Regions from separate parts of the Mus musculus genome. Here region 2 is reported to be linked to region 1. The links are microRNA targets in miRTarBase. Many come from high-throughput screens and were not tested one by one. Region 1 holds a microRNA gene; the other region holds the end of a gene's coding sequence.

Region 1 (9,171 bases):
ACAAAAACAAACAAACAAACAAACAAAAACTAGTTGGGCGTGATGACCCACACTTGTTATCCTAGCTCTTGGGAGGCAAAGGTAGTTGGATCTCTGAGTTTGAGGCCAAGTGGGGCTGCAGAGTGAGATTAACTGCACCCCTTCACATACACCCCCCCCCAAAAAAAAAACAAAAAACAAAAAAACTGATGAAGCTGGGAGGATTCAGAGCCAATGGTTGTAGGGTGGGAAGGGAAAGGGCAGGGTCTGGCTGCACAGATACACACTCTGCCCTCTCCCCACACCCAGGCCCACCAGCGCTGATGAGCATCATGAAGAACTGGTACTCCTTGTTCACCCCAGTGGAGGCGGTCACCATAGTGGCAGTGACAGGCACCACGCATGCCACTTTGCTGCGACTGCAGCTAGATACAGCTGGGCGAGAGGAGCTCTGGGCTTGTGCCCGCACCTTGGCACTGCAGTGCGCCATGAAGGATCCCCAGAACTGCGCCTTGCCAGCCCTGACCCTGTGTGAGAAGAACCACGCGGCCTTTGAGGCTGCCTACCAGATTGTGCTGGACGCTGCAGCCGGTGGCCTCGGCCACGCCCACCTCTTCACGGTTGCACGGTATATGGAGCATCGAGGCCTGCCTCTGCGGGCCTACAAGCTGGCCACGCTAGCCTTGGCACAACTCAGCATTGCCTTCAACCAAGACAGCCACCCTGCAGTCAACGATGTGCTGTGGGCCTGCTCCCTCAGCCACTCGCTGGGGCGGCACGAATTGTCGGCCATTGTCCCTCTCATCATCCGAAGCATCCACTGTGCACCCATGCTCTCAGACATCCTGCGACGCTGGACACTCTCAGCACCCGGGCTGGGCCCACTGGGGGCCCGCAGGGCTACCAAACCACTAGGGACTGACAGGGCACCACTTTGTCAGCTTCTGGATGCCGCAGTAGCCGCGTACATAACCACCAGCCACTCTCGCCTCACCCACATTAGCCCACGCCACTATGGTGACTTCATTGAGTTCCTGGGCAAAGCTCGAGAGACCTTCCTTCTGGCACCAGACGGGCACCTCCAGTTCGCACAGTTCTTAGAAAACCTGAAACAGACGTACAAGGGAAAGAAGAAGTTGATGCTGTTGGTTCGGGAACGGTTTGGCTGAGGAACTGCAGAAAGCCGGGAGCATGGGTGTCCCAGGCCCACCTTCCTCAAACAGGAGGCCCATGGCTACTTGCAGTAAAGTTACAGAGGTGGGAGGCAGAGGGTGACATCATTCCAGGTGTGTGCCTAGGAGTGTGCAGACAAACGGGACATGCGATCTGAGGATCCGAAGCCATACTGCTAACTAGACCCTGCAGGGAGTATGTGCCTGGGCACCTCACACGGAAGAAGCAAGCTCTGGCTCTTCCAGACTCCCAGGGTCAGCTGGGACTTCCAGGAGAAGGGCTGGGCCAGAGTGAAGTTAGGCCTCCAACTCAGTGCAGCAGATGCTCCAGAGCCGGAGCTGGCCGGAGCCTAGGCACTTCACATCAGGGTAGTTACTTCCCACTGTGTTTCTCCCCTCTCCACAGCTCAGGGCTCCTGTCCCACTGCCCTGCGCCCCCAGCCCCAGCTTTCCAGCACAAATGCCTCACCCCACTGAAGGATATTAAGAGGTCTTGGGCCTCTGCCACATACCTCACCCCCAAATACCCTTGTCAAGCCAGGGCCTGTCTTCTCTTGGGCACCAAGGTCACAGGGTAGGCTGGGGACAGCTCTCTGCTGGCCAGACCCCACCACTAGTAACTGGATACACAACTCAGGAGTCAGGCTGCCCTCCAGCCTGTTGTGGGAGGCACAGGCAGACAGCCAGGGACCCCGTTCTGTCTTCCTCTTGCTCTGCACCTCCATTTGTTTCCCCACTCCCTTAGTTTCCCCATGTCTGCATCTCTCTCAAGTCCCAGCTGCTGACAGGCCTTCCTGTATCCCAGGCCTTGGCCCAGGGAGGAAGAGAAGGGAGAGCCTCCACCCCAGACGCACCTGTCTTCTCTCTTGTATATTAAGGAAAAAGTTGGCATCATTTTGTAACTTTTTTTCTTATTTATTGAACCCCATACTGTATTCTTTTCCTTTTTTTTTCCTTTTTTTTTAAAAAAAAGATTGAACACAACTTCTTTTTAACTTCAAGACTGGGTTGCATTGCTAACACAAACACCCGGGGCCAGGGGTACCTACCACCTGCTCAATTAACCAAAAAATTTTCCATCTCGGTTTTTGGGCACAACTTGAATGGGACAGGAGAGGCTGCTGGTTTCTTCATGGCATCGTGGTGACACGAAGAGCCACCTCTTGCTGGTGGCTTTACTGCTTTTCCATCTGCATGTCATAATCTCTGCAAGTCAGGAGGCTTAAAACGCCCAAACCTAGAGTCTGTAGGTTTTTGGAAAATGCACCCAGATTGCACTGTCCTTCATTGCAGGAAATGACCACCAGGGGGCGTCTGGCTCCAGACAACGTCATTCGGAGCTCCGGAGGTCTCACCAGGTGCGGAGGGCAGCTGGGGACGCCTGTGTCCCCAGTGACCTGCCCATTGCATTTTTGGGCTGTGGATGAGACTCCCGTTCTTAGATGGATTCATCCAGCGGACGGCCTGGGCATTCTTCTCATTCTCCGGTTCTTTATGTCCTTAGCTGTGTCTGACAGGGTCATTGTTTAGGACCGTTCTCTTGGAAGCTGTGTGTGTGTGTGTGTTGCCTCTGTGGGGCACTATGGGAGCTGGCTGTGACTATGAGTGTGGCCATAGTTCATGGTGCGTTCCTTTGCTCCAGGGAGCCGATCAGAGGCGATCCGCCCCTTAGCCCTTCTGGCGCAGACGGGCGCGCGCGCGTGCGTGCGTGCGTGCGTGTGTGTGTGTGTGTGTGTGTGTGTGTGTGTGTGTGTAGACGGGCGCGCGCGCGTGCGTGTGTGTGTGCATGCGCGCGTGTCTGTCTGTGCTCGCATATGTGCCCGTCCTTAAGCCCTGTGTGTGTGTGTGTGTGTGTGTGTGTGCATGCGCGCGTGTCTGTCTGTGCGCGCATATGTGCCCGTCCTTAAGCCCTGGCATCTTGCCAGTCAGTGCATCCCAGCATAGGCAGAGTACATTCTTGTAACATACTCCCTCATGGAACTGGGGTGACCACAGATTGGTCTCATACACCCCAGGTCTGGGTTATCCCTCCCGTTCAAGCCATCCCCAAAGGATCCCAGGATCTTCAGGTCGCAGCACCTACTGACCACAGAACTATATTTACACCTTCCTAGAAGCAGGTGGAGCAAGGTTGGGGATAGGTGCAATGCAGGTTAGGAGCCCAGGGTGTGGTAGATATAGTGGTGCAGCTGGTATTCCCAAACTCCAGACACTGGAGGAGTTTGATTCAAGGTCAGCCTGGTCTACACAGAAATGCTGTTTCAAGAGAAATGAAAAAAGCCAGCAACACACATGTGGGAGGCGGGAATGAAGAGACGTCAGCCCTTACGGAATGAGGCTGTGGAGCTTTTATTTAGTTGGAGAACAACATTCAATACAAGCTTTCAACTCTGTTCTTCCACCCAGGCTTCGATTTGCCCCTGCCCAGAGTAGGGAGAGGACACTGTATGGTCTGGGAAGTGTAACTCAGCCAGTTCCAATTAGTCTGCATGCAGTCTCATTTGTGGGTAGTAGGCAACTTTTTAACTTCCAAGCCTGGAGATTACTTCAACAGGCCAATGGGGGGGGGGGGCATGGATCTGTTCATATCCTGAGGCCTGTGTGGACCTCGCTCCCTGCCTCGCTGTCACCAGCAGAAAGCTGCAGACCCCATGGGATTGCTAGGCACACTGGATCAGGTCAGTGCCTTCTTCCGGAAGCAGAGAGTTGGCATTTAACCGTTAGAGGGCCTAAAGCAGCTTCCTCTTGGGTAACTGACTTCAAAGATGGTATGTATAAGGGGTGGTGCCTGAGCCCCACCAGACTTAGGAAAAGAAGGGCTTCCAGGCCCTGAGGGGACATAACTGGCTTTTAATGCAAGGGTTACCCGCCCATCTATCTGCTTTGGGGAACCACAGAAATCTCAAGGTGGACACCCAGATGCAGGCTTAGAGGCTGAGCCTCCAGCAGACAACGGGGCTTAGGTTGGACTAATTACCCCATTGTTTCCAGGTCTTGCTCACGGCAGACATTCTGCAGGGTTGCCAGCTCCTAGGGGGCTGGACTCCTGTTCCTGCTGAACTGAGCCAGTGCACTGGAATCAACTGTTTCAGCTCAGTAGGCACGGGAGGCGGAGCCCGGAGAGAGGCAGAGCCCTGCCAGCCAGGAGGCAGAGCAGGGTGGGCAGCAGCGGCCTGAGGAGATGGGGTCCAGGGGGCGGAACTTAGCCACTGTGAACACGACTTTGCTGTGGACCTTGCTCACAAGCAGCTAAGCCCTGCTCCTCAGGCCAGTTGTCATGATAGGCTTCTCTGTTACCCAGTACCCAAGACAGACATCCTTGGCGACAGGAGCCCCCAAGGCAGAGCACAGGGTCAGTTGGAAATCCCTGGCAATGTGATTTGTGACTGGCATCAAATCCCATCCCCAGGAACCCCAGCCGTCCGAGGCACAGTGAGGGGGGCAGCAGGTGGGAGCGGAGTGTAGCACCTAAAGAGAGAAAGAAGAGACAGTGAGATTGGAGCATTCTTGCTTGCCTGCCTATCTTGACCAGGCTGGGTCTCACATAGCTGAACACAAGGTTTCCGAATGCACCAGTTCTTCCTGCCTCTACCTCTGGAGTCTAGGATTATAGGTACACCTCACCACACACAGTTTAAGTGGTGCTGGGGACAGAATCTAAACTCAGCTTGCTGATCCACACCCTAGCCCTCCTCTACTTCCAAGAGGGAAGAAGCATTCCCAAAAAAGAGGAGCATCGATCCGTAGGAAGGTTGGAGCGAGGCTGCTGGATGCTGGGCACCCAGCAGTGCCTCTACCCCAGCCCTACAAAGCGGGAGGTGCCTGAAGCCCTAAGGCCAAAGGGGCTGCAGAGCCTTCCCAGCTGCTTCCCACTCTGCTTCTATCCCCACCCACAGCCCTGAGCCCAAAGCAGGCCAAATGGGGCCATGGAGAGGAAGCTGAGGGAGGTGGACGGTTGGAGGGAGGAAGTGACCTCACCCCAGCTGGCGCCACTTCCTAGAAGCCTGAAGGGCAGGAGGAAACTCCAGGGCCTCCCACCTCAGCCCTCTCCTCCCCAGCCAGCTCAGACATAACCCCACCCCCACCCCACACCACCTAGGGCCCAAGCAAGGAGAAGCAGGCCGATGCACCCCAACAATAACACCTCAGTAAAGTTTCCCCTAGGCCTTCCAAGCCTCAGTTTCCCCATCTGTAAAGCAGACTACAACAGTTGCAGTTGGTGGCTCACGTTTATCTCAGCATTGAGGAAACTGAGGCAGGAAGGTTGCCAAGAATGGAGTCAAAAGCCTGCTTAAGCTACATGATGAGTTTTAGGCCTAACTGGGCTACAGTTTGAGACCCTAGTCTTAAATAGAAGAAAAACAAAAATAAAACAACAAAACCCCAAACCTTCTACTAGGAAGGCCAGTGAAAACTTACAGAGAAGGTATTTAGCACCCAGTACCAGGGCAAGCCACAAAATTTGGGGCCTACCCAATGTAGAGTAGTGTCCTGCGTGCCAGTTAAAGTTTTCAGGGGCCAGCAAGCTGATCCAGCAAGTGAGCAGAGCTGCTATGGAGCCCAATGCCCTGAGCTCAAACCCAAGAACCACGAAGAAGAAAAGCATACGGACCCTTGCAAGTTGTCCTCTGATCTCTGCACTTGGGAACACACACACACAATTTTTAAAAATTGTTTAAAGAATTTCAATGTTGGAGAGATGACAGGTTTCTTTCCCAGAACCTACATGACAAGCACAGCTATCTATAGCTCCATTCCCAAGAGCTCCAACGCTCCCCACTGGCCCCTGTGGGTACCAGGCATACATATGGTGCACAGACGTACGCGTAAGCAAACATTCACAAACAGACAATAAAAATAAACTTAAGAATGGTGGTGCACACTGTTAGTCCCAGCACTTGAAAGGCAAAGGAAAGCAAGAACCAGGCCTTGGACAGTACTATCTCTAAGAGTTCAAGGCCAGCTTGGTCTGTGTAGGGAGTTTCAGACCATCCAGGGCTACATAGTGACACAAGTGACCTTGTTTCAGATAAAGAGCTGACTCAGTGGTTAAGAGTGGCTACTGCTCTTGCAGAGGGCCCGAGTTTGGATCTCAGCACCTGTCACAACTACCTGTAACTCCAGCTTCTGGGGATTTCACTCCCTCTTCTGGTCTCTGAGTGTACTGCACTGTCATGCACAAAGACCAGACAACACACACACACACACACACACACACACACACACACACACACACACGTCTTCTTTATAAAACATCAGGGTCGGGCTGGTGAGATGGCTCAGTTGGTAAGAGCACCCGACTGCTCTTCCGAAGGTCCGGAGTTCAAATCCCAGCAACCACATGGTGGCTCAAAACCATCTGTAACGAGATCTGACTCCCTCTTCTGGAGTGTCTGAAGACAGCTACAGTGTACTTACATATAATAAATAAATAAATCTTAAAAAAAAAAAAAAAAACATCAGGGTCTTCAGTGATAGGTCAATCAATAAAGTGGTCACCATGTAAGCAAAAGGGCTTGTGTTGTCCCCAGGTATGGCAATTCACACTTGTAATTCCAGAGCTGGGGAAGGGAAGCCACAAGATGCTCTAGGGCTCACCACCAGCCCGCCTCACCAGCTCCATGTCCCAGTAAGACACCTTCTCTGAGAAAACAAGGTTGGAGCTAGAGAGATGGCTCAGTGGTTAAGAGCATTTGTTGCTCTTTCAGAGGACCTGGGTTGAGTTCCCTGCACCTACACAGTGGCTCACAACCATCTGTAACTCCAGTTACAGGAGATTCTATGTCTCCCACCTTTTAGGACATCAGACACACACAATCCTGAGAAACTACACTTGACATTGCACTCTGTACACACACACACACACACACACACACACACACACACACAAAAGGGAGGAGAGTAGAATTTTCATGCCATGCACCAGGGCCAGGTCTTATATAAGCCCTACAGTGGTGCATACCTGTGATCCCAGCTAGGAAGAGACAGAAGCAGGAAGATATATATGAGTTTGAGGCCAGCCTGGTCTACATATGAGGCCCTTTTTAAAGGGGGAGGGGGAGGAAAGGGAAGGAAAGGGTTTTGGCTACGGGACACTCAGTTCTGGAGCTCGTCAGCCTGCATGTGAGCTATGCAGCTTCTTTGCTGGCTGACTATGGGCAAAGAACACACGTGCTCTGTGGCAAAGTCTCTGTCTGCAAGAAAGCAAAAATGAATCATTTCAGAGCTCGAGATGATGTGACATGACAGCAGACTGCAGACGTGTAATCCCTATATCTAGGACAGGGGTAAAAAGATCTCAATTTAGAAGCCAGCCTGGGCTACCAAGACATGGTGTGTCTCAAAAAGAAAGGGCTAGAGATGGCTCAGCACTTGCTGCTCTTCCGGGGGTTCCAGGTTCAATATCCAGCACCTACATAGTGGCTAACAACTATCTCCAACTTTAGTTCTAGGGATCCTGACACTTTTTTCTGAACTCTGCAGACATACATGCAGACAAAACATCTGCACACGGAAATAATTGTTGTTTTGGTTTGGTTTTGTTTTTTTGAGACAGGGTTTCTTTGTGTAGCCATGGCTATAGCCCTGGCTGTCCTTGGCACTCACTTTGTAGACCAGGCTGCCCTCGAACTCAGAAATCCACCTGTTTCTGCCTCCCAAGTGCTAGGATTAAAGGTGTGCGCCACCACACCCGGTGAAATAATTTTTAATTAAAAAAAAAAAAAGCAACAAGGGGTAAGGCTCAATGGCAGCTGCTGGCCTAGCACACTGACTGGGCTTGGCTTCACCCCCAGTACCATATCAAGGAAGTGTGGTGGTTTATACACATGTTCCCAGCACTCCGCAGGCATTAGCAGGTATGTCTCAGGAAGTTTAAGGCCAGCCTGGTCTACAGAGGAAGTTCCAGGACAGCCAGGACTACACAGAGAAAGCCTGTCTAGGAAAAACAAAATAAAAATAAAAACAAGAAATGTGTCTACAGAGCAAGCTGGAGGGCAACCTGGGATACATGAGACTCTAAAAAAGATAAGTTTAGGGCTAGAGAGATGGCTCAGCGGGTAAGAGCACTGACTGCCCTTCCGAAGGTCCTGAGTTCAAATCCTAGCCACCACATGGTAGCTCACAACCATCCGTAATGAGATCTAACACCCTCTTCTGGAGTGTCTAAAGACAGCTACAGCGTACTTACATATAATAATAAATCTTAAAAAAAAAAAAAGAAAACAAGTTCAGGGCTGGAAAGATGACTCAATAGTTTAGACTGCATATTGCTTTCTGAGAACCTGAATTTGGTTTCCCGGCTCACATGTGGCGCCCTCTTCTGGACCCTTTAGGCACCTACACATACATGCACATACCCAACACATACACAAAAGTAAAAAAATAAGTCTTAAAAAAAAAGAAAATCTCTACTTCCCAATAATTGGAAGAGTTCCTGGGTGACATCAAGGACAGAAGCATTCAGTCATATCAGGCAGTGACAGGCAGGACAGTGGATTTAACGTCTAGATCTGGCATCACCGATGTCTGAGGAATGAGGAATAAGGATTGAGATATTCTGATGTGTCTTCCCCAGTACGCGTGCTTACACACACACACACACACACACACACACAGTCTCCAGCCCCAATCCACCTCTGTCTCTTTGGGTTCTGGGGGCAGCCCAGGTCCACAGGCTGACCAGCCTCCCCAATCACCTCCGGAAGTGAGACAGCATATTCGTCCCAGGGACCAGAACGGGAAGGGCGGCCATTTGGCCAGGCTGGTTTCCTGTGGGGTTTCCCCTACAAAGAGCCCAAGGCTGCAGCCAAGGCCACTCCCATCCTCACACACACCAGAGGTCTGTGTCTGGCGTGGAGGGGGCATTACCACGCAGGTGTCCAGGAGCTGGGACACCCTGTACTGACTCTTAGTCTCACAGGGAGACTCAAAGGGACAGAAGTCCTGGAGCTGGAGGGCTTGAGAAACAGGGCGGGGGGCCTTGGGCTGTGGTATCCCAGTCAGTTAAATTAGCACACAC
Region 2 (9,171 bases), not on the chromosome of region 1:
TTCTCCCCCTCCCCTTTGCTTTCTCTTCTCTTCCCCCTCCTCTCTTTCTCATACTCTCTCTCCCCCCTCCCGCCTTTGTCCCCCCCCCTCCCACCCCACCCCGTGTTCTTCATCTTCCACCCTCTCCTCTCGTAGAAAGCTGCTCAGCCTCTCAAGCCCTGGAATGAGAACCCAGGCAGCCCCCAGTTCCCTAGATTGAAAACTAGTCCAGATATCTCTTGCTATGAAAGGGGCAGGAAAAGGCGAGGGCGGCGGCAGGGCAGCCTGTGAGCCTACCGTGGGCTCAGCTGTGGTCTGTATGGCCCCGGGAGCAAGCCAGCATCTCTGACTGTTGTAAAGACTCTCACCCTTACAACACCGGGACTCCACCTGACCACTTTCCCTGGTTACATACCGTCTCCCACCATGATACTCTCCATGCACACAGGCTTTGCTATGATCCTGGCTCTACAGGATTCACTGGACACTGACCCCTCCATAACAAGATCAGTCAGTAGAGCATGAGACTCTTAATCTCAGGGTCGTGGGTTCGTGCCCCTATGTTGTGGGAAATATTAAAAAAATGAACCCACCACCCTTCCAGCCCTGCTGAACTGCCCTTCTATCTCCCTATCCTCACTTCCCACTGCATCGACTGCTCATACAGCCAACACTGCATCGGGCCCTAGCCCTTCTCACCTCTCACATGCATGCCCATCTTGCTCATTCCATCTGTCCAATAACAGCTGGTGATCCTTTCTGCACACAATCGGATCAGAGTCTTCATTTAAAACCCTTCCATGAGTCCCTCTCCACATGGATTAAAGCCGGGCTCGTGGCACTGACCTAGTAGGAACCTGTGTAGACAGCCTCGGCCTTGGTGTTTCTACTCCACATCAGGCCAACTACGTGCCTCTGACTAGAGCTGACCATCTGCCTGTCTCCTAGTGTTCTTCTCGCAAGGTCTCTGCTGGACAGTAGCCTAACATTTCCTGTCCTACAAGCTCTCACCTCTCCAAAGTGGCTGCCTGGGTCCCATGCATTGAAGGTTGCCAGTGCTGGTGGCATGCCCGGAGCAAAGGCAGATTAGTCCATCCTGGTAGAATATTGGCTGTGACACTTGGCATTCAGGTTACAGAGGTTCTGCTGGCCTCCAGAATGGTGGTCACAATAGCCGGTCCTTTCTGCATGTCTCTCCTATGGATGCCCAAACCTAAGTGTTATGTAAGCCAGCAATCTGTGGGACCCAGGGGGCATCTGACAATGTGTGGGGATGTGACTGTCACAAGTGCAGAAACAGATGCTGCTGGCATCCCCACCAGTCAATAGCACGTGGGTAGAACAAGGATAGGCAGGGTTGTTGCCAGTGGGAATGACAGCGTAGAGGCTTGCCCACTGAAGATGCTGGGAGAGCAGCTCTCTAGATGCTGAGTGGAGATGCTAGGCCACTTTGCATATGGGAGTGGGGAACTGAGATAAAATAGGAGTGGGTTGGAAGGCTGCAGCTCAGCAAAGGCACAAGCTGAACACATAGATGACTTTCCATGTTCAGAACAGCTCCCTGACAAGAGACTACACTTGCGCACAGAGAGTCTGGGTGACAGCCAGGTAAATGGATGGTTGGACCTGTGTATGAAGTGTACATGTGCATACCCTGAGCCTCCTCACCCTCTGCCTCAGGACTATGGCTCAGCACTCCGAGGCCTGTGTGAAGATGCCCTAGAGGGCCTACTGTTCCTGATGCTCTTTTCTCTCCTGTCTGCGGGGGCCCTAGCCACCACTCTGTGCAGCCTGCCCCGCGCCTGGGCCCTCTTCCCACCCAGGTCAGCAGGGGAGAGAGGGCAGGCTCCCCAGGGAGGGGACAGGAGGCAGTACCCAGGGCCACTGGTGGGGATGGGGCAGCCTCCTGACTCGTTTCCATCCTGCTTCTCTGCCACTCCCCACATCCCCATCACACTTCAGTGATGACTACGATGACACAGATGACGATGACCCTTTCAACCCTCAGGTATCCTGGTGTGAAGGGAGGAGGCCTGGGGCCTGAGCTCCTGGGTCTCTTGGAAGGGGAAATGAGTATTGCATTCTCGGGTCTGAGAAGAAGAGAAATGAGACTGGACCTCTGGGTCTGAGGTCCTAGGGGAACAGGGATGAGTCTTGGCCATGAGGGAGGAGGCTGGGGTCTGGAAGCCTGGGCCCGAGGGAGGAGAGAAGGGCCCCCACGTACACAACAGATTCTGAGTGTCTTTCCTGCCCTGGTTATCCTGCCAGGAATCCAAACGCTTTGTGCAGTGGCAGTCTTCCATCTGAGCCTCCCCTCCAGTCTGGAGCCTGCCTCTCCTCTATGGTAACCTTCAATGTGTACAGTTGGGTCTTGGCTCTCCCCTACAGTAGTTGTAGCTCTCTTATGTTGGGTGGATGTCCATGGGAGGGTCTCCAGTGAATATCAGCTCTTCATTTCTCCCTCTCTCTAGCTCCTTTCCTGGCTGCTGGAGAAGGCCCCACTAACCTGACCTTGACTGGGCTCTGACCACTAACACTGCTGGCTATGGACATCTCACTTAGGATGGCAACCTGCTCTGGCCCTAACACCCACCCCCCCATCCCCATTTCTCCTTAGCACAGGGGATTGCTGAGGTGGCACAACAGGGACCAGGGGTGGCTGGGAAGGGGGCTGACCTATACAGCCTGGTGTTCCTCACCTCTGGCTGCCAGTCCTGTCCTTGGAGGGATGAAGCTGGAGGCAGGTACAGGCACGTCCCTGTTTCCTGCCATACCCCAGCGATCTCAACCTATGGCACTAACTTGGAAGAGGGCTGATTTGAAATAAAAGGGAAGGCTTTATTTTACAAGCAGCTAGGTCCTTCTTATCCACCCCAACTACTGAGAGAAGGAAGTCCTGACTGGGCTAGGGACACTCCTCCTCTGGTGGTTGAAAGGCAACTCTCCTCTTGTCCAGGCTCAGCACTGCATTGCTTCTATAAGTAACATGTGAATCCTGACAAGGGGGAAGAAGCAGATACCGGAAGAGAATAAGCCTAGCACTAAATCTAAACAGGCGTGCAGCCACAGGAACAGTCAAGCTTCCAGTCCCGTGGAATGTACAAAGCCTGCTGGGTTTAGGAAAGGCGTGGAATCAACTTGCTTCCTAGCAGCTCACACCCAGCACAAGACTCCAGAAAACCAACGCTTGTATCAGAATAGGGACAGAAGTCTTCGAAGAGAAAGTAGAATATTTGCTTGTAGTGCCACCAGGGTGATATGAAGGGGGAAGGTTTAAGGAAGATATTATAAATCCAGGCAGGAAAAGATGAGGCACTCAATAAGTTATCAAGTAAAAACAAACATGGCAGAGTCAAAAGGGAAATTTATTGTCTGGGGAACAATATGTATGTAGTTCTCATTTGTTTAAAAAACAAATAGCATACATGGCAAAGAAAAACGTGGTTAATACATAAACATAATTCAAAAAGCTTCTATTATCTAACAAAAAAGACCTCAATTTAATAATAAGTAACTGAGAAAAACAAAAACCCCAAAACAAATGGATAAAATTGTCTTTTTTGTCTTTGTTGTTGTTGTTTTGGAGACAGGGTTTCTCTGTGAAACAGCCCTGGGCTGTCCTGGAACTCTCTTTGTAGACCAGGCTGGCCTTGAACTCACAGAGAAGAGCCTGCCTCAGCCTCTGCCTCCCTAGTGAGGAGATTAACGGCGTGTGACGGCGTGTATCACCACACCCAACTAAAGTGTTCAAATTCTAATGATTAGCAAACACAATGTGCTACTTTCCCCTTTCGAGTACCTATTTGTTGTGGGATTTAGAGTGGAGTGTGGGCTGGTGCTGGTCTGGAGGCCCAGGGAACAGGTTCTCTAAATATGCTGCCCAGAGACTGTGAATCACCAGCTATGTGAAAATAATAATAAACAAAACAAATAAACAAACATAAATATGCTTACATGTGAGAGGATAAAAACTGCATCTCTTATCCTGGTAATCCTTTGAGGGACCAGCTTCCAGAAAGAAATAAACAAGCAACCCCTGGCTCAGTTAAACGCTGGAGACAAAACTAATCTGCCACAGTGGGACTCTTCCCAAAGACCAGCAGCTCTGTAGGGGAGATGGCAGAGCAGGGTCCTCAAGTGACTACAGAAGCACCAGGGGTATCCCTGGTTCTTGCACAATGCTGGTTTGGATTCCTATGGGTCCTAGTCCTGGCACCTCAGTGTTAATGTAAGCAAGTTATTTGACTCACTGAACCTCTTTTTTTGGTTTTTCAAGACAGGGTTTCTCTGTGTAGCCCTGGCTGTCCTGGAACTCACTCTGTAGACAAGGCTGGCCTCGAACTCAGAAACCCACCTGCCTCTTCCTCCCAAGTGCTGGGATTAAAGGCGTGGGCCACCACTGCCCAGTTTTTTTTTTTTTTTTTTTGTTGTTGTTGTTGTTGTTTTGGTTTGGTTTAGTTTGGTTTGGCTTTTTGTTTTGTTTTTTTGAACCTCAGTTGTGTGGTAAAGCAAATGGGCATCATAAACCCAATAAACAGCTCTTGACAGGATGGGTAAAAAAGCAAGACAAATGCAACATGATGCTCTGGGTTACGCTATGGCGCACCGGAAACATTAGTGAGAAAAAGCGCCCACATCTGCGGCTTAGTTCAGAATATTAGAGCAATGTCAATTTCTTACTTTTAACAAATGAATTTGAGGTGTGGAATCTAGCAATAGGGGAAACTGGGCATAGTGTGCCCAATTCCTGTATTACTTTTGTAATTTCTGTAAACTTAAAATTTATTCTAAAATAAAAGTTCATTATAAAAAAGAGATGGGAAGAAACCTACCAAGCTAACACTAGCAAATGATACAGAGTTATCCAAGTGTTGTTTAATTACCAAAAGTTGCTTGTACAATGTGAGACTGGAAACTGGTCAATTGATGAACAATAATTGATAAGAAGGTAGTCTTATCAATTATTTTAACGGGAGATCCCAAGTTGGGCTGCATAATTCAATCACTCCTACTGTAAACAGTGAGCTTTAAGTGGCGGCCCACACCTTAATCCCATTAAGAGGGAGGCGGGTTTCTGAGTTCCAGGGCCATCCTGATCCTAAAAGATACAGTTCTGCTAGCTGCCACTCCGAGCAGATCTCACCATCCCAACACCCTACAAGGTACCTTTCCAGCGTCACAGTCCAGTGGCTACTCCCATTCCTCAAGCGACGCGTTTCCCGCTTCCTTTGGTTCGCACTCGCTGTTCCCTACGCCAGGTGCGCCTTTCCAATTTTACTCACTAAATAAACCTTCCAAGGGAGGATTCACCTTATCCCATTTCCCTCCACCCGCTTATATATTCATTTATTTTAAATCGTCCTAGCGCAGTGCGCAGCCTCACAACTCCTGTCCCTATGCGTTACATCTGAGAGACTATTGACTGCTGAGTCAAAACTAAGCTGTTGTGAGCGCGCACGAGAGGCTGGGAGGTACTTGTCCCCACGGGGCCACCGTCTAGGGCCAGCTTCCGGCTTGCTGACAAACGCCAACACGCGACTGCGTTCGCGAGACGTGTGGTGGGCGGTTCAAGCCGAGCGGTGACGTCTATTGGCTGTGCGCGACACAGGGCGGGGACAGACGTCCGGGTAACGTCATCACGCCACGGTCAGGACGTTCGAGCCCCAGACTAGAGCCAGCCGGTGACTGAGCGCTGTCTTGGTTGTCTTGAAGCTGCCTTGGACCGCCGGTAACGAGTCCCGGGAGCGAGCGGTCCTAGTGAGTGTGGGTAGTAGTGGGAGGCCTGGCGGGCGAGCACAGGGACGCCTTCGGGCTCCGCGCTCCGCGAGCCCTGGCCTGTTTGGTAAGGCCAACCGACGCCGCGCCCTGCGTCTTTGAAGGGTGTGGCCGCCGGAGCGCCTCTGCGCATGCGCGCCGGGTGTACGCTGGGGGGGGGAGGGGGCGGCTCCCCTACGTGCGCGTGCGCGTCCGCGTCCGCTCTGCTACTGGCCCTGGGAACCCTGCGGTCCCTAGTGCCCTAGACGCACCCCTTGCGGGCTCCATTGACCCGCTGTTACGCTGGCCTTCCTGTTGCCTAGGGCAACCCAGAGAGGCCACCCTCGCAGCGTGGTGCGCAAGCGCGGCCCGGCCGGTGGCTGGTCGCGGGGGACAAGGGAGGTCGCTTGTGTTCAGGGCGGCCTCAACCTCCACCTAGCGTCGTGGACTCCATGCCTGCGGGACAGCCAGGTGCTTCTGAGCTTACAGTCCGTGTTGTTCTCGTCTGTAAATCAGACCCCTTACTCCTAATACCAGTTACGAACACGAGGCTCTCTTTTGTGCATCCCTAGTTAGGACCCCTTGATACCACCCAACGGATTGGGTTTTTTAAAGGCCTTTGAGACCTGTCAGTGCCCCTTAGGCTTCCTATAAGGGTTTCAGTTTCTCCAATAGGCTTCTTTTCTGTAAATCCTGTTGTTTGGACCGCTCCAGCCCTGTTGGCACGGTGCTCAACCCATCCTATTTCTTATGGTACTATCCACCCCACCCCTAATAGTTTAAGAATGTTGTGGGCCTCTGTTATCTGCAGACACCTTACTTGAGTAATTGCCACTTGTTTGCTCCCAAACCAACTCCCACTCCTAGGAACATCCCATACAAGTCTGGAGACTGTAATTGATCTGAGTCTGGTAGGTGCTGCCAGGCAGTGACTTCACAGGAAGGAGTCTCCTGCACCTTCACCTGGCTGCTCAGCGGGATATCCATACTTTACCTTTTTCTTTGAAAACTTTGCTCTATTCTCCAGTGTTCTCCCAGTCTCAATTCCTTCCTCCTCAGAGTATCCCCAAAGGCTTCCCTCTCCCCAAACTTCTTTGTAGCTAGTACTTCAGTCACTGGAGAGCCTTCCTCTTGCTGTAGTAGAAGTATCTTTAGATTTCCTATCCAGGACTGAGGTTTCTGCATCCACCACTTGAGTCAGGTCTCCCTCACAGCCACACTCGTAATGCAAGTCTCAGCTTCTTTGTCTTTCATTTTCATATCCTACAGGCTAGTCTCGGCCTCCAAGGGAGGTGTTTCCTTTCATGCTCAGGTCTCTTCACTCCACACTAGGAACTGATTCTGATTCTTTAAGCTGTTTGTTTTTGAGACAGGACTGTAACTTGTAGCCCAGATGGGTATTGGAACTCCCAAAAGATTGCTGGCATTATGGTCATGAGCCACCACACTTGCTTTCCTTTCCATTCTTTGCCAGTGTTCCCTTCTATGAGATACCCTCTCTTTCTAGCCTATCTTCTCTTGGGGCTAATTGATCTCTTTTCTTATAGACATTTAAAAAGCAGCCTGGCTCCCGAGGTCTATTCCCTACACCCCAAGGTCCAGATGGCGGCCAACGTGGGTGATCAGCGTGCTGCAGACTGGTTAGTAGGGCTAAGGGAACACAGCCCATTGCAAGAGGAACAAGACACAACGGGTCCTTGCACAGCTTGGGGGAAAAATGCTCATTGTGGGGGCTAGGATGGAGGGGCAAGCTTCCCCTTTGAGCTTTCCTTTAATGTATGTGAGCTTATGTGGGTGTGAGTGAGTGTGTGTCACCCATGTTCGTCAAGGTCAGAAGAAGCCTCAGATCCCTTGGAGCTGGAGTTAGAGGTGGCTCTGAGCCATCCGACATGGGTGCTGGGAACAGAGCTTAGTGATATCTGCAAGACTGCTAAATGTTCTTAAGCACTGAGCCACCTCTCCAGCCCCCTCTTAATATCTTTCTGATCCTTCCCTTTTCTTTTTTTAAATTTTTTTTTCATTGTTGGCCATGTCAGAATTCACTGGCTTGTAAAAAACCTGAGTTCTCCTAAAGTCGTAGGTCATGTATAGAATTATGTACATACTGGTTAGCTTTCTGTTTGCTTGGCACATGCTATGTGCCACCTTCAGCTTGGGCTGTGGTGAGTAGGGAGTTTAGCTCTAGAATGCAAGCCTTGGGTTTACTTTTCCCCAACTTTGTCTACCTGTGTATAGATAGGGGAGACCATAACTGTGCTTCGTTGTTGCAGGTCTTCTCAGTACAGCATGGTGACTGGGAACAGCAGAGAAAATGGCATGGAGACTCCTATGCACGAGAACCCAGAGTGGGAGAAGGCCCGCCAGGCCCTGGCCAGCATCAGCAAAGCAGGGGCTACCAGCAGTTCCAAAGCCAGCAGCAGTGGTCCTGTGGCCAGTGCACAAGTGAGAATGGCATGGAGGATTTGGGAACTACAGTGCTGGGCTGGGGCCGTTGCCGAGAGAAGGGTGGGAAGGATGCTGGCTTCCATAGAGGGGAGTGCCATAGGGGGGCTGTAAGCATGTTTTCCTGTTAACTAAATGTAATGAAGGGGGAAAGTTAACTCCTTTGGGTCAACCTGGGCCTGAGTGATCTTAAGGATGATCGTCCCCATCTTTTAAGATGTCTAGTCTTACTGTACAGAGTCTGCACCCTTCTGCAGTTGCTCTGCAGTGAAGGCCTACCCTCTTGGTAGTGTAGTGCCCATGGGCTCCTGTGGCTGGTACTGATGGACACTCCTTTTTCTGCAGTACGTCTCTCAGGCAGAAGCCTCTGCTTTGCAGCAGCAGCAGCAACAATACTACCAGTGGTACCAGCAGTACAACTATGCCTATCCGTATAGCTACTACTACCCCATGGTGAGGACCTGGCTGCAGGGTGGGAGCCTTCTGTCAGGGTGGGCAAATGGTTGGTTGGGGTGAAGACAGACAGCAGCCCCTGACAAAACTGCCAGATTCCTGCTTAGGTCTCATAAGATCTGGCATATCCATTCTGGTCCTTTCCACTGTTGATGCTGACATTTCCACTGCCTCCAGACCCCAGGACATTAGCATGTCCTAGTCCCCTATGCTTTGCTCTCTGCAGCTCACTTCAAGGTTCCTTGCTGCCCAGCGAACACCTTCAAGAGAGCCTCCCATTGCCTTTTAAGTCGTCATCCTGCTTTTCCTTTTCTCTTCCTTGTATTCGTTCATGGTACTTACTGGAGTACATTACCTACTTACCCCATAGCTGTGTGTAGACTTTATTAAAATCTGGGTTTTTGCTTTTCTTTTTGAGTCACGGTTCTCTATATAGCCCAAGTTGACTTTAGGCTTCTCTTCTGCCTCAGTTGCCTGAATGTACACCACCACAACTAGCTTGTCTTTTTTGTTTGTTTGTTTGTGTTGTTGTTGTTTGGGAGG

Evidence for each region. The annotated mature microRNA mmu-miR-3074-2-3p reads UGUUUCAGCUCAGUAGGCAC and lies in region 1 at 4,236-4,255, shown strand. An mRNA with a match to its seed (bases 2 to 7 or 8) in the 3' UTR can be bound and repressed. Matches are read on the target gene's strand: a 7mer-m8 pairs with bases 2 to 8, a 7mer-A1 pairs with bases 2 to 7 and ends in A, and an 8mer does both.
Region 2: the mRNA of Ttyh1 is a reported target of mmu-miR-3074-2-3p. Seed matches in the 3' UTR shown: 7mer-A1 at 3,580-3,586.

What each region holds. Positions count from the first base shown.
Region 1 is chr8:84,203,923-84,213,093 of GRCm38, reverse strand. Mir3074-2 (microRNA 3074-2) reads left to right here and starts at 4,187; the gene lies at 4,187-4,269. Zswim4 (zinc finger SWIM-type containing 4) reads left to right here. Exons shown (of 14, transcript NM_172503.3): 14 at 289-2,152. The coding sequence ends at 1,148. It overlaps Mir23a (microRNA 23a), which reads right to left and starts at 4,576; the gene lies at 4,502-4,576. It overlaps Mir27a (microRNA 27a), which reads right to left and starts at 4,422; the gene lies at 4,336-4,422. It also overlaps Mir24-2.
Region 2 is chr7:4,131,416-4,140,586 of GRCm38, forward strand. Ttyh1 (tweety family member 1) reads left to right here. Exons shown (of 14, transcript NM_021324.6): 11 at 1,660-1,802; 12 at 1,942-1,987; 13 at 2,248-2,323; 14 at 2,451-3,992. The coding sequence ends at 2,286. D030047H15Rik (RIKEN cDNA D030047H15 gene) reads right to left here and starts at 5,511. Exons shown (of 3, transcript NR_033548.1): 1 at 5,146-5,511; 2 at 991-1,176. It overlaps Leng8 (leukocyte receptor cluster (LRC) member 8), which reads left to right and starts at 6,065. Exons shown (of 16, transcript NM_001374609.1): 1 at 6,065-6,204; 2 at 7,281-7,373; 3 at 8,004-8,175; 4 at 8,521-8,628. The coding sequence starts at 7,336.